2 linked regions of the Xenopus tropicalis genome follow. Each later gene encodes a partner of the first gene's protein in a complex. Links are inferred from orthologs where the notes say so. Each region holds a gene or a part of one and is shown on either strand. Other genes may lie near its edges.

What was found.
Region 2: ercc2 (region 1) and polr2d share a complex: the UniProt entries of both Homo sapiens proteins name them as parts of the TBP-based Pol II pre-initiation complex. The link is inferred for Xenopus tropicalis from reciprocal best matches to the Homo sapiens genes ERCC2 and POLR2D.

The regions. Positions count from the first base shown.
Region 1 is NC_030684.2:70,778,777-70,784,135, forward strand, and holds part of ercc2 (TFIIH basal transcription factor complex helicase XPD subunit), read left to right. Parts: intron 1-575; coding exon 576-692; intron 693-799; coding exon 800-923; intron 924-995; coding exon 996-1,092; intron 1,093-1,319; coding exon 1,320-1,453; intron 1,454-1,695; coding exon 1,696-1,864; intron 1,865-3,084; coding exon 3,085-3,203; intron 3,204-3,313; coding exon 3,314-3,383; intron 3,384-3,759; coding exon 3,760-3,829; intron 3,830-3,928; coding exon 3,929-4,030; intron 4,031-4,122; coding exon 4,123-4,186; intron 4,187-5,144; coding exon 5,145-5,266; intron 5,267-5,359. UniProt on the Homo sapiens protein: ATP-dependent 5'-3' DNA helicase. Component of the general transcription and DNA repair factor IIH (TFIIH) core complex, not absolutely essential for minimal transcription in vitro.
Region 2 is NC_030681.2:125,371,031-125,376,968, reverse strand, and holds the start of polr2d (DNA-directed RNA polymerase II subunit RPB4), read left to right. Parts: upstream 1-2,341; 5' UTR 2,342-2,354; coding exon 2,355-2,427; intron 2,428-4,178; coding exon 4,179-4,359; intron 4,360-5,938. UniProt on the Homo sapiens protein: Core component of RNA polymerase II (Pol II), a DNA-dependent RNA polymerase which synthesizes mRNA precursors and many functional non-coding RNAs using the four ribonucleoside triphosphates as substrates.

The DNA.
Region 1 (5,359 bases):
TTCAACAGCATTCTCCTCTCTAACACTTCCTCCAAAGTCTCCAATTTTGCTTAGTACAGAGCCTGATTTCCTTATCACCTTATTAAAGAAGAAGGAAAGCTACTCAGGCATTTTATTGCCAATAGATTAGTCACAAAAGTGCAAGCTAGAGCTTTATATTTATTTTGCAGGCTGCTTTACCATACCTGAGTAAACAGGTATGGTTTATTTAAGAAAGCAGCAGCCATTTTGTCCCATGCAGAAATTTAGTCGACCGCAATAGATCTCTCCTACCATGGGCGACTAATCTCTCCAAAATGCATTTCCATCGTCAACAGTACAAATCACTTCAGTTTTCCCAAGTCAGGCAAAGTTGCCTGCAGGAGGAAACTTTACACAAAGTTTAGACCAAAGCAGAGCATAGATTGTAAAAAGCACTTGAAAAGTAAAAAAAAACATAACTCTTTCATAGCTATCTGCCTTCCCCAGGTGAGCATACATCATGTTTAGCAAAATAAAGATGGGGCAGAAAGGCTTATTTTGGAAAATCAAGTGATTACTCTGCTACTAACCCTGTTTTTTTTTTTTTTTTTAAGGAATTTGATGCAATTGGACGTGAGACCCCCCTTCCTCCTGGTATCTACAATCTGGATGACCTTAGGACTTTGGGTAGACAAAAAGGCTGGTGTCCTTATTACCTTGCCCGACATGCTGTGAGTGTCTGAATATTTCTCATGCAGTCCTAACTTGTAGAAGATATAATTGACTAGTATATCTGAATAAATGTTTGTGTTTTAAATTATGTTGTGTATTTTTGCAGCTCGGACAGTGCAATGTGGTTGTGTACAGCTATCACTACTTACTGGATCCCAAAATAGCTGACCTTGTCTCTCGTGAACTTTCCAAGAAATCTGTTGTTGTCTTTGATGAAGCTCATAATATTGGTAAGTGATAAAACTGAACTTACCTGTCTATTTCACACGCCTGCAAAATTAATCTGCCCTCTTACTCTTTAGATAATGTCTGCATTGACTCTATGAGTGTCACCATCACACGCAGAACCCTGGAGCGCTGTCAGACAAACATTGAAACTCTCAACACGGCAATAGAAAAGTAAGGGATGTTTTGTGGAGGACAGAAGAAAATAAATTCTTGCATAATAAAAAAACTGTTTTAATAGAAGTAAAACTGGTTAAATAATGGGAGATAAATGTGAAGGGTACATTCAGAAAATTAATGAAAAAAAGTGGATGCGAAGGAGAGCCGGTAATAGGTGAATATTGAGAGAAAAGGTAAGGGAGAACTGTTATTCTTTAGCTTTATTTTTGTTGTTTTCATAGAATAAAAGAAACAGATGAAAAGAAGCTGAAGGAGGAGTACGCTCAACTGGTGGAGGGATTGCGGGAGGCCAGTGTTGCAAGGGAGACTGATGTGTACCTGTCCAACCCTGTCTTACCTGATGAAATTCTGCAAGGTAAGAGAAGTTGTGCTGTTAATTTAGTTTTTTTCTGTAAACATTAAGCCTATCATGCTCTTCAGGAGGCTGCACCTGTTACTCCCCAACTTAGTTCAAACCTTTTCAACAGCCTTGTTCACTGGACATTAAGCTGTTTGTTGATTAGTTATACATTTTGTATAAATACTTTATTGAACAGCCAAAACTGTTTTTCCTTCGCTACTGAAATGACTAAGGACTGACTTTCGTGTTGTATGCAGAGGCTGTGCCAGGCTGCATCCGTAATGCTCTCCACTTCCTGGGTTTTTTACGACGATTAGTGGGCTACATCAAATCACGTCTACGTGCAGGCCATGTAACACAAGAGGGCCCTGCTGCCTTTCTTCGTGACCTTTATGAGAAAGTCTGCATCGAAAGGAAGCCAATGCGGTAAGGGTTGAGTTGTTGATTACAAAGATAATGCCTAGTAAGTATTACTAATGTGTTCAGAAATATCTTATTTAAATTGATGCAAAACTTTCACATATAATATTTTGTTATACATAGCCTAAGAAAGATTTCACAACAGAAATTTGCTGGGCTTTCTGTTACTGTTGTATTAGTTGAGAAAATAATTGAAACTGCATTTTGCAGCTGGTTATCTCCAGCTGAAGTTCAAGCTCCAGAGGGCTTTGTAATTATCTGATGTTCTGAGTCACATGGCTGTTTATTTTCTTTGGCTTACTAATGACCTTTGTTGCTTAGATTGGGGGACACAGGCACTATGGGGCTAAAGATACAGGAGAGTACACACGGAAAGGTTAAAATTGACTTCTTAAGAGCTTTGCCCCTGCTACCTCCCTTAATCCTTAGTTTCTCTTAATGTGCTCAAAAGGAGAAAGGACACATGGTGGCTCAGGAATAAAATAGTCAGGACTATGGTTATAGGTCATGCCACTAAGGCCTAAAAATAATCTCCCAAATGACTGGGATCTCTAGTTTCCACTCTCCAGGGGTCTGCACTGGTTAACACTCCCAGAGCAACATTGGGGCAAACACTTAGATGGTGTGGAAGGATTTTTATCCTCAAGGTACCTATGCCCCCCATAGTAAGTGAAGAGAAAGGGATTTAATGGTAAGTACAAAAATTGTTCTTCTAGTAACATTTCTTTATAGTGACCTCCTGTACAAATTGAGAAATACTTAAAAGGGATAGTTCACCTTAACCCGAGTACTGTAGTATTTTTTTTAAACTCTGTCAACTGTAATCTGACTGTTCCATTTTTTTCAGTACTCTAACAACCAGTCAGAGGTTTGCAAAATGTTTGATTTTTATGTATTTGATAGAGATGATTATTAAAGAGCCTGAAAATAATGATATGCAATAAGATAAGAATTACAATAAAACTAAACTATGGGTTTTTTGTTTTTGTTGCTGGCGTCCATGATCCCTGACAGTTAGAAATAGAAATAATAATGAAAACAGACATAATATTAAAATTACTCATTGAATGAATGAATGATGAATGAATAATTCAAAAACCATAAAATTAACTAAGACAAGTTTAAATGTTGCTTGAAATAGGTTAATTTATAATAAACTAATCTACTAAAATTAAAAAAAAAATGGGAATTTTTCCCTTACAGATATTAAATCTTTTGCCTTTTAGGTTCTGTGCAGAACGGTTGCGTTCCCTCACACGCACTCTTGAGATAGCTGACATTACAGACCTCTCTCCTCTTACCCTCATAACCAACTTTGCTACCCTTGTCAGCACATATACTAAAGGTATTTTCCTCACAGTTGGATTCTGTGTATTCTTGCTTGCCCTTCCCATCACCTCTCTTCCTACAAACCATTTTATTTCCCTTGTGAACCATGTCTCTGTTTTCTTACAGGTTTTATGATAATTATTGAACCATTCGAGGACAGAACACCATCTATAAGTAATCCTGTGCTGCACTTCAGGTTACTAAATATTTTTCTCCTTGAAATGCCCATCAGTGCTATTCTTTCCAATTTCTTACTTTTTGCCAATTTTTGGCTTAATATCTTTTTTTTTGGCTCGTAGGAATGATTTTCTGCCTCTAATTCCTCTTTCCACACACACATTCATACAACTTTTTTCAAAATACAGATTCGGTGCGCAGTATTTTTTTTTCTTTGATCTTTCCAACACAATCTTTCTTTTTTCCCTACTTCTAGTGCTCCTGTAGTCTGGTCAATGTTTCTCTTGGTGCCCACTGTCCACCTTTTCAAAGCCAATTTTCCTTCATTTTTTTTCAGCTTTCTCTCTTACAAAGACTGTATACTCTAGCCGTTCTTGTTTTTATCATTAATTTAGCTGTCTAGATTCTTCCCTTGCAATTAAACCTGTATTCCAGAGATTTCAGTCTGTCATCATCACGTCTGGGGTAAGAATTTTTTTTTTTTTTACTTTTTTATTTTTCAAATTTTTCTTCTAATCCTGTGTAATCTATTCTTTTTTAAAAATGTGACTTTTACACAACCAGACCCTCTCTCCTTTGGATATCTACCCCAAAATTTTGGATTTTCGCCCTGTTACTATGGCAACATTCACAATGACCTTGGCCCGTGTTTGTCTTTGTCCTATGGTAAGAAAAGGTTATATATTGCATATGATATCTTTTATACATAAGAGGTAAATAGTGAAGGCTTACTTGCAGTTGTTTACTGTATGCTGCAGGTCGTGGGCCGTGGGAATGATCAAGTGGCAATGAGTTCAAAGTTTGAAACAAGGGAAGATCTAGGTAAATAACATATTGAAATCTGAAACATCCTTATTTGTTTTAATGGAAAACTAAAGCTTTAGTTAAAGAAGCCGGCTAGAAATGTTGTACATTATGTTTTGGGGTTTTGTACCAGCCCAAGGCAACAAAAGCCTTTTGGCAAAGAAGGTGGTGTCAGTTACTAAGCTTAGGGCCAAACTCACAATATACTGTATACATACATACAGATATATTATGTCACAGTATAAGGCTGATTAGTAATTTATTCAGTTTACATGGCAGACTGAAACCAGTGCAATTAGCATCAGAATGCCCTGTAGCATCAGCCTCATTTTCTTCTTAAAGGAATACTGTCATGGAAAAACATGTTTTTTTTCAAAATGCATCAGTTAATAGAGCTCCTTCAGCAGAATCCTGCATTGAAATCCATTTTTTAAAAACCCAAACAGATTTTGACTGCACCTGCATTGCCAAAAGTGGTAGATATCAGAATAGCACTCTGTAGTAAAGAATCCAAGTCTGGCTTGGGACTGCTTCAGCTAAAAATAGCTTATCGGAAAGCAGTTCCAATATGTGGCTCCTTCTGAAAGCTCAGACTCAGGCACAATGCACTGAGATGGCTGCCTACACACCACTATTACAACAAAAATTTTTTAAAATTTGTTGGTTCAAGAATAAAAGTTTAAATGGTAGAGTGAATCATTTGCTATGTAAACCGTGTAATTTAGAAATAAAAAGTACGCTATAAAATCAGAGAGAACACAGGTTTATATTTCCTTTAATCATACCCACACTGTACAAAATCTCTATTCATAATCATCTCATGACTTTAATATAAATTATGCATGGGGTTGGTGGGGTTCTCCAGGTGGAGAGTTGTTTTTAACCTGAACTGTTTTCTTAATAGCTTTTTTTTTAATTTCTGCTTGTTCTCTGTGTTCTGTCTTACTTCTCTACTCTGCAACCTGCAAACAAATAGCTGTGATGAGGAATTATGGGAACCTTTTGCTTGAAATGTCTGCTGTGGTCCCAGATGGAATAGTAGGATTTTTTACCAGTTACCTATACATGGAGAACATTGTGGCTTCATGGTATGAGCAGGTAACTAATTGCTACATCCTATTCTAATATTGTTTCTCATTCTGTAATCACCTGACTGAAATGGCAATGTTTTACTTCAAACGGCATATTGTT
Region 2 (5,938 bases), on another chromosome or scaffold:
TATATACCCTGTTGCAAAAAAACTATTGCTTCTGTTCCTTGCTTTAGCACTATTCAGAAACCATTACTTACAGATCTGTTGTTTACAGTGTTATTGGTTTTCTTTTCTACCTCTCCACTCCATGTGATGAGTGGGGAGCTTAAAAGCCTAGTCCAAGCTGTTTACAAAGATACCATTCCTTAAATACATTACTGATAATTAGGGCACTGACACCCGAAAGGAGCAAGCCTGTTGATTTGGGGGTTAGGTAACTATTACCCATCTTACATTATATAAACGCACACCACAGGTTACTAGTATGCCATGGTTATGCCTGTAGACATGTTTGGAGAGGCAACTCTGGTAGAGTGCAAGCATGTGTGGCAGAGAAGAGGGAAAACAGTTTTTGTACATTACAGGTTTCCCTAGTGCCAGCTCTGCCTTTATTCCTTTTCTTCCCGATGGAACATCGGCGTGCTGATGAACCATCTGAGATGGAGAGGGTAACAATACCCCTTGCACAAACTGTCACTTTCCCTAAGGAATCGATTGTTTTCTGTTCCATGCTGCTAAGAATAAATTGAAATGATTGAATTGAGGATCAGTAATGGTTTATTAAATTGTGAGATGACCAAAGGTACCATGAATTGTGCACTGTTTCAGAAATATCTTCAGGAAAAAGTCCAGTCATTTGTCTATGAGCCAATCCTTTCTGGGTTCTGGCAGACAAAAAACAAAATTAGTTTTGTATAAGCCTAAGTTCTGACTTAAAATAAGCAGTTTATGCACAAAAACCAATGTGCATGGATGAAAGCAATGCTACAAGGAAGAGTGGGCTAGAAATCCTTATCAGCCATGTAAAAGATAAATCAAAGCATTTGGTTACAGTTATTGTATAAAAAAGTGCTGCAACCAGTTAAGTTTAAAGGAAAACATACCTTTAGAATGAATAGTTAACCAACAGATTATATCATATTAAATGGCCTATTAAAGAATCCTACCAAACTGCAATACATATGAGGAAATAATGGCCTTCTACATCTTTTTCTTTGAGCCACCATTTAGTGATGGGCTGGGTGCTCCCTCAGAGATCACCTGACCAGAAATAATGCAGCTCTAACTGTAACAGGAAGTAGTGTGGGAGTAAAAGATAGAACTCTGTCCATTCATTGGCTGATGTGACCTAACTCATAAATTGTATGATCCCATGGGGTAGCCTGTAGTACTTAAAGGAAATGTAACACTAAATGTTTTTAAGTAAAAACACTATTCTACCCTGCCCCAATAACTGCCCTATCCTGCAAACCACTTAGTATTTTAAATGCTTTAATAGAAAATACCTGCTAAAACTTGGCTTCCTCTCAATTGAACTACAGGGATAGGGCAAAAGGAGCTGCATCCACTATGCGACGATCGATTGATCGAGCCTAGCCTGACTCCTTCCATACAGAAAGAAGGCTAGGCTCGATCAATCGATCATCGCATAACATGCTACTACACATTTTGTATGAAAATGGTTGATCTAAATGAAGTACAGTTTTACAGCTGCATTGTGCCATATATATTTATAGAGACCTACATTGTTCAGGGGTATGGTTTTAATTTAAAGTACACAGAAGATTTTGATCAGATATTATCTGACCCAGCACAAGATCGTGTAGGATCATACCAAACCTGATCCCCACAGCTGTAACACAAATCAGATCAAATGGTGGGTTTTGTCCCTGCATCTACATCACACAATGTGTTTCAATGAGAGAAAAGTATTTCAGACGCCATCAGCTTTTATCTTGAATAAACGTATCTCTGAGCTGCAGCACAATCCAACACTGCCCATTTAGTACAATGTATTCCTGCATTAAAAGTCTGATAGCTGCTCCGCCAGCCCCTCCACTTGCCTAAATGCTAAGCTAGAGTTTCCCAAACTGTGACTAGTAAGGCCATGGAGTCTCTGCTGCCCATGTGTCGTGTGTAGCCACTGTGCGTCTGTATAATGCTCCCTGAATGCAGCCTTTCCTACAGGCCAGTTAAAGGCCACTACTATAACGCTAACGCACCTGTTCACAGGTAGAGAAATGCCTTTTAAAAGTATGGAACAGGGCCCTGGGCAGGTGCTGCTGGCTATTTAGCCTGCCAGCGAGAAGCTCTAACAGTGCGAAGATACCCATAAGCCTGCCAGGTATTTAAGAAACGTTACCATTTCCCACATCGGTTACGGGCTGAGGCCTCCCCCAGCCACACTGCTATTCAACATTCCCGCCGCAGTACGACCCTGTAGTTAAAGGCGCCCCGCGCAGTCACGTGGTGCTATGACGTAAACCAGCAGGGGCTTGTGGGTAATGGGAAGTAGTCACTAGAGACGCTGAGACCCGGTTATGGCTGCTGGCGGAGCGGAGGCGCACTCTGGGGACCCGGAGGAAGATGCTTCACAATTACTGTTTCCCAAAGGTACGTGATAGAGCTCAGGCCTATAGTGTAGCCCCCCCCTTACACCCCCGGATGTTCCTGCACACACTGGCGGGATGCACAGAGCTCCCAGCAGCAGCAGAACACAAACGCCTGCGGAAAGATAAAGCCCAAGTGCTACCGCCATCACACTGGGTCCTCTCTCTCCCCCCTCATTAGCCCATTGCCATTCAGTACCCTGAGTAACCCATAGGCTGCTATACGTTTATCATAGCAGCTGGGACAGAGGGCTTTTTATCCCATGTTTTACTGTACGTGCAAAGATGTTTGCGAGCACTTTGGCTACTGGGGCACCTTTGGGGGCACAGATCTTCCCTGCTAAAGGGCTGTGGTTGCCTTGGGCTGGTACAGAAGCACAAAACATTTCTAGCCTACTTCTTATAAGCTTTTCTTCTTTTTTTTAAAGGTGAATTAAACCCTTTAATTGTTTAACTTGTATGACCCCTGCCACCACCCCAACTGCCAAAAGCCACCTGTTCCCTGCCCCCCCATATGAGTATGGGGGGGGGGGGCATATGAATTTCAAATATCCTTACTGCTAGCACGGGTGGGTCCAGGTGCACATGTCCCAGACCTTCAGCAGAGGGAGTTTACAAGGAACACATTTGCAGGTTGGGACCCAACCAGAAATCTTTACAATCTTATACAAAACAAATTCAAATGCCTTATGCGTTTTGTGTTGCCAAGACACACAATCATAGGCTCAATTGATTAAGTGCCTCTTGGCAACACAAAATGCGTAAGGCATTTGTATTTTGTATTCATAATGTAAAATGTAATTCTACAGACTGTAATAACTTATGGCTTCTGGTTTCAACTAAGTGGTCTTGATTGGTGCCTGCAACTGATCACTAGTGAGGAACATGGCACCCGATGCCAGGAAAAGGTTGGCACTCAGTATGCCTGTCACCTTTGTGCCTGGAACCGGAAGTGACTCGGCCACCGACTCTGCTTTCTTAAAGGAACAGTAACACCAAAAAATAAAAGTGTATAAAAGTAACTAAAATATAATGTGCTGCTGCCCTGCACTGGTAAAAGTTGTGTGTTTACTTCAGAAAGTCTACTATAATTTATATAAATAAGCTGCTATGTAGCCATGGGGGCAGCCATTCAAAGGAGAAAAGGCACAGGCACATAGCAGATAAAACACTATTGTATTCTACAGAATTTATCTGTTATCTGCTATGTAACCTGTGCCTTTTCTCCTTTTTTCCAGCTTGAATGGCTGCCCCCATGGCTACACAGCAGCTTATTATATAAATTATAGTAGTGTTTCTGTAGCAAACACACCAGTTTTACCAGTGCAGGGCAACAGTGCATTATATTTTTATTACTTTAAAGCTCTTTCATTTTTTGGTGTTACTGTTCCTTTAACTCTTCATGCTGTCCCTGTCTTCTGCAGGAATGGGTGTAGGTGTCAGATGGGGCTAATAGGGCAGGTTTGGGTAGATATTACAGTTGTCAAATGTGGGTGCCACTCAACACCAGGAATGGGATGTAGGTGATAAATATTTATTGTTGCTCTGTTTTATTGTGCAGTATTATTTGTGAGTGGGGAAGGGGCGGCAAGGTTTGAAAGAGAAAGTTTTGTATAGAAAAAACAAATAGCTGCTTAAATGTATGCATTGATTGCCTATGGCAGGGAAATCTCTTAAAATATTGGCTGTAATATATTCCGTCCCTATACCAGTTCAGGCCTTTACATGTCGGTTTTGCTTCTTTACATTGTGTAGAGTTTGAGAGTGCTGAGACTCTGCTGAATTCGGAGGTGCACATGCTCCTGGAGCACAGAAAGCAACAGAATGAGAGCGCGGAGGAAGAACAGGAGCTCTCCGAGGTCTTCATGAAAACCCTGAACTACACTGCCAGGTTCAGCCGCTTCAAGAACAGAGAAACCATTGCCAGTGTCAGAAGGTACCTGTCCTATTCCCCACTACATGCAATGTGTGCCTTGAGCTAGCTGCATGGCGAGGGCGCTGTAGTGCTGGCTCTCCTTGTGGCGCCCAGCAATAGGACCATCAGGATAAGATTTTGGGGAGAATTATTATGTTACTGTTTCCCTGCTTGTGGATCTGTAGCAGTGTGACTGGTAGGACCATGTTTTAAAGGAGAATGCAAGTCAAAATGTAAAAAGCATACTGCCCAATAGTCCTCCTATTGTTTAGTAAAAACGCCACACTTTTGGCTCACCTAATCAAATATTTACTCAGTCACACTTACTTCACATTTTCTAGAACAGGCAGCCATCTCTAAAAAGGTATTCTCCCTTCCTTTCCCTCCTTGCTTCATACTGCACATGTGTTTCATTCCCTCCCCCCCTCCCCTCTGCCAGATCCGCTTCTGATTGGCTGGTGGGCATGTGTAGCTCAGAACAGGAGACAGGATCAAGTTACACACATACTCGGAGAATAGGAAGGCTGCCGCTGGCACCTACAGGAAGGGGAGAGAGATTTCAGTGATGTCACTGTAGGCTTCACACCGCTGTAGGCTGCCAGCACCATATCTCAGAGAAGCAAGCAGGGATCTGGGAATTTAGATATGCAGTAAGTACTTAAAAAAATGCCTTTAGACTTCCTTTTAATTTATATTAACCTTTCATTGTCCTTTAAAGGATTATTAAAGGTATTTATAGAGGTTAATACCCCTGGAGAGCCACCCCTCACCTGATATTGTTGCCCCACTTTCCTTACCCCTTCACACTGGCTGGGGGTGCCATCTCATGCTGCTTCTCTTCCAAGTGATTGCTGCCCGGGAATATGCACAGTGAAAGGCTAGCTCCTTTGGCTTCATCTGCACATGTTCCTGGTGCAAGTTTGCTGCAAAGTTGAAGCAGTGCAAGATGGTGCCCACTAACCCCACTGCTTTTTCTGAACAGTTAAGGCACCAAGTGCAGTTGTGCCATTTGGAAGGTGGGTTGGATTTCTCCCCGGGGGCTGCTAACTTGTATATATGATGTCTTCCTTAAAGAAAAACTGTACCCCCAGAATGAATACTTAACAATCAGTAGTGTGGGAGCAAAAGGCAGAACTGTGTCCATTCATTGGCTGATGGGGCCTAACATGTATGTGTGCCTTGGCTTGTTTGTGTGCACTGTGACTCCTATGATCCCGGGAGGCGGCCCTTAATTCTTAAAATGGCTATTTTCTATTTAGGATTACCCAATAGCACATACTACTAAAACCAAATATATTTTGAAGAAAATGGTTTTATTTAGATGAAGCAGGGTCTTACATATAAGATTGTTTATGCAGTCCTGATTTTTATGGTGTAATTTTTTATTTCTAAATTACACTGTTTACATAGCAAATAATTCACTCTACCATTTAAATGTTATTCTTGAACCAACAAATGTATTTTTTAGCTGTAATATTGGTGTGTAGGCGCCATCTCAGTGCATTGTGCCTGAGTCTGAGCTTTCAGAAGGAGCCAGTGCTACACATTAGAACTGCTTTCAGGTAACCTATTGTTTCTCCTACTCCCATGTAACCGGAGG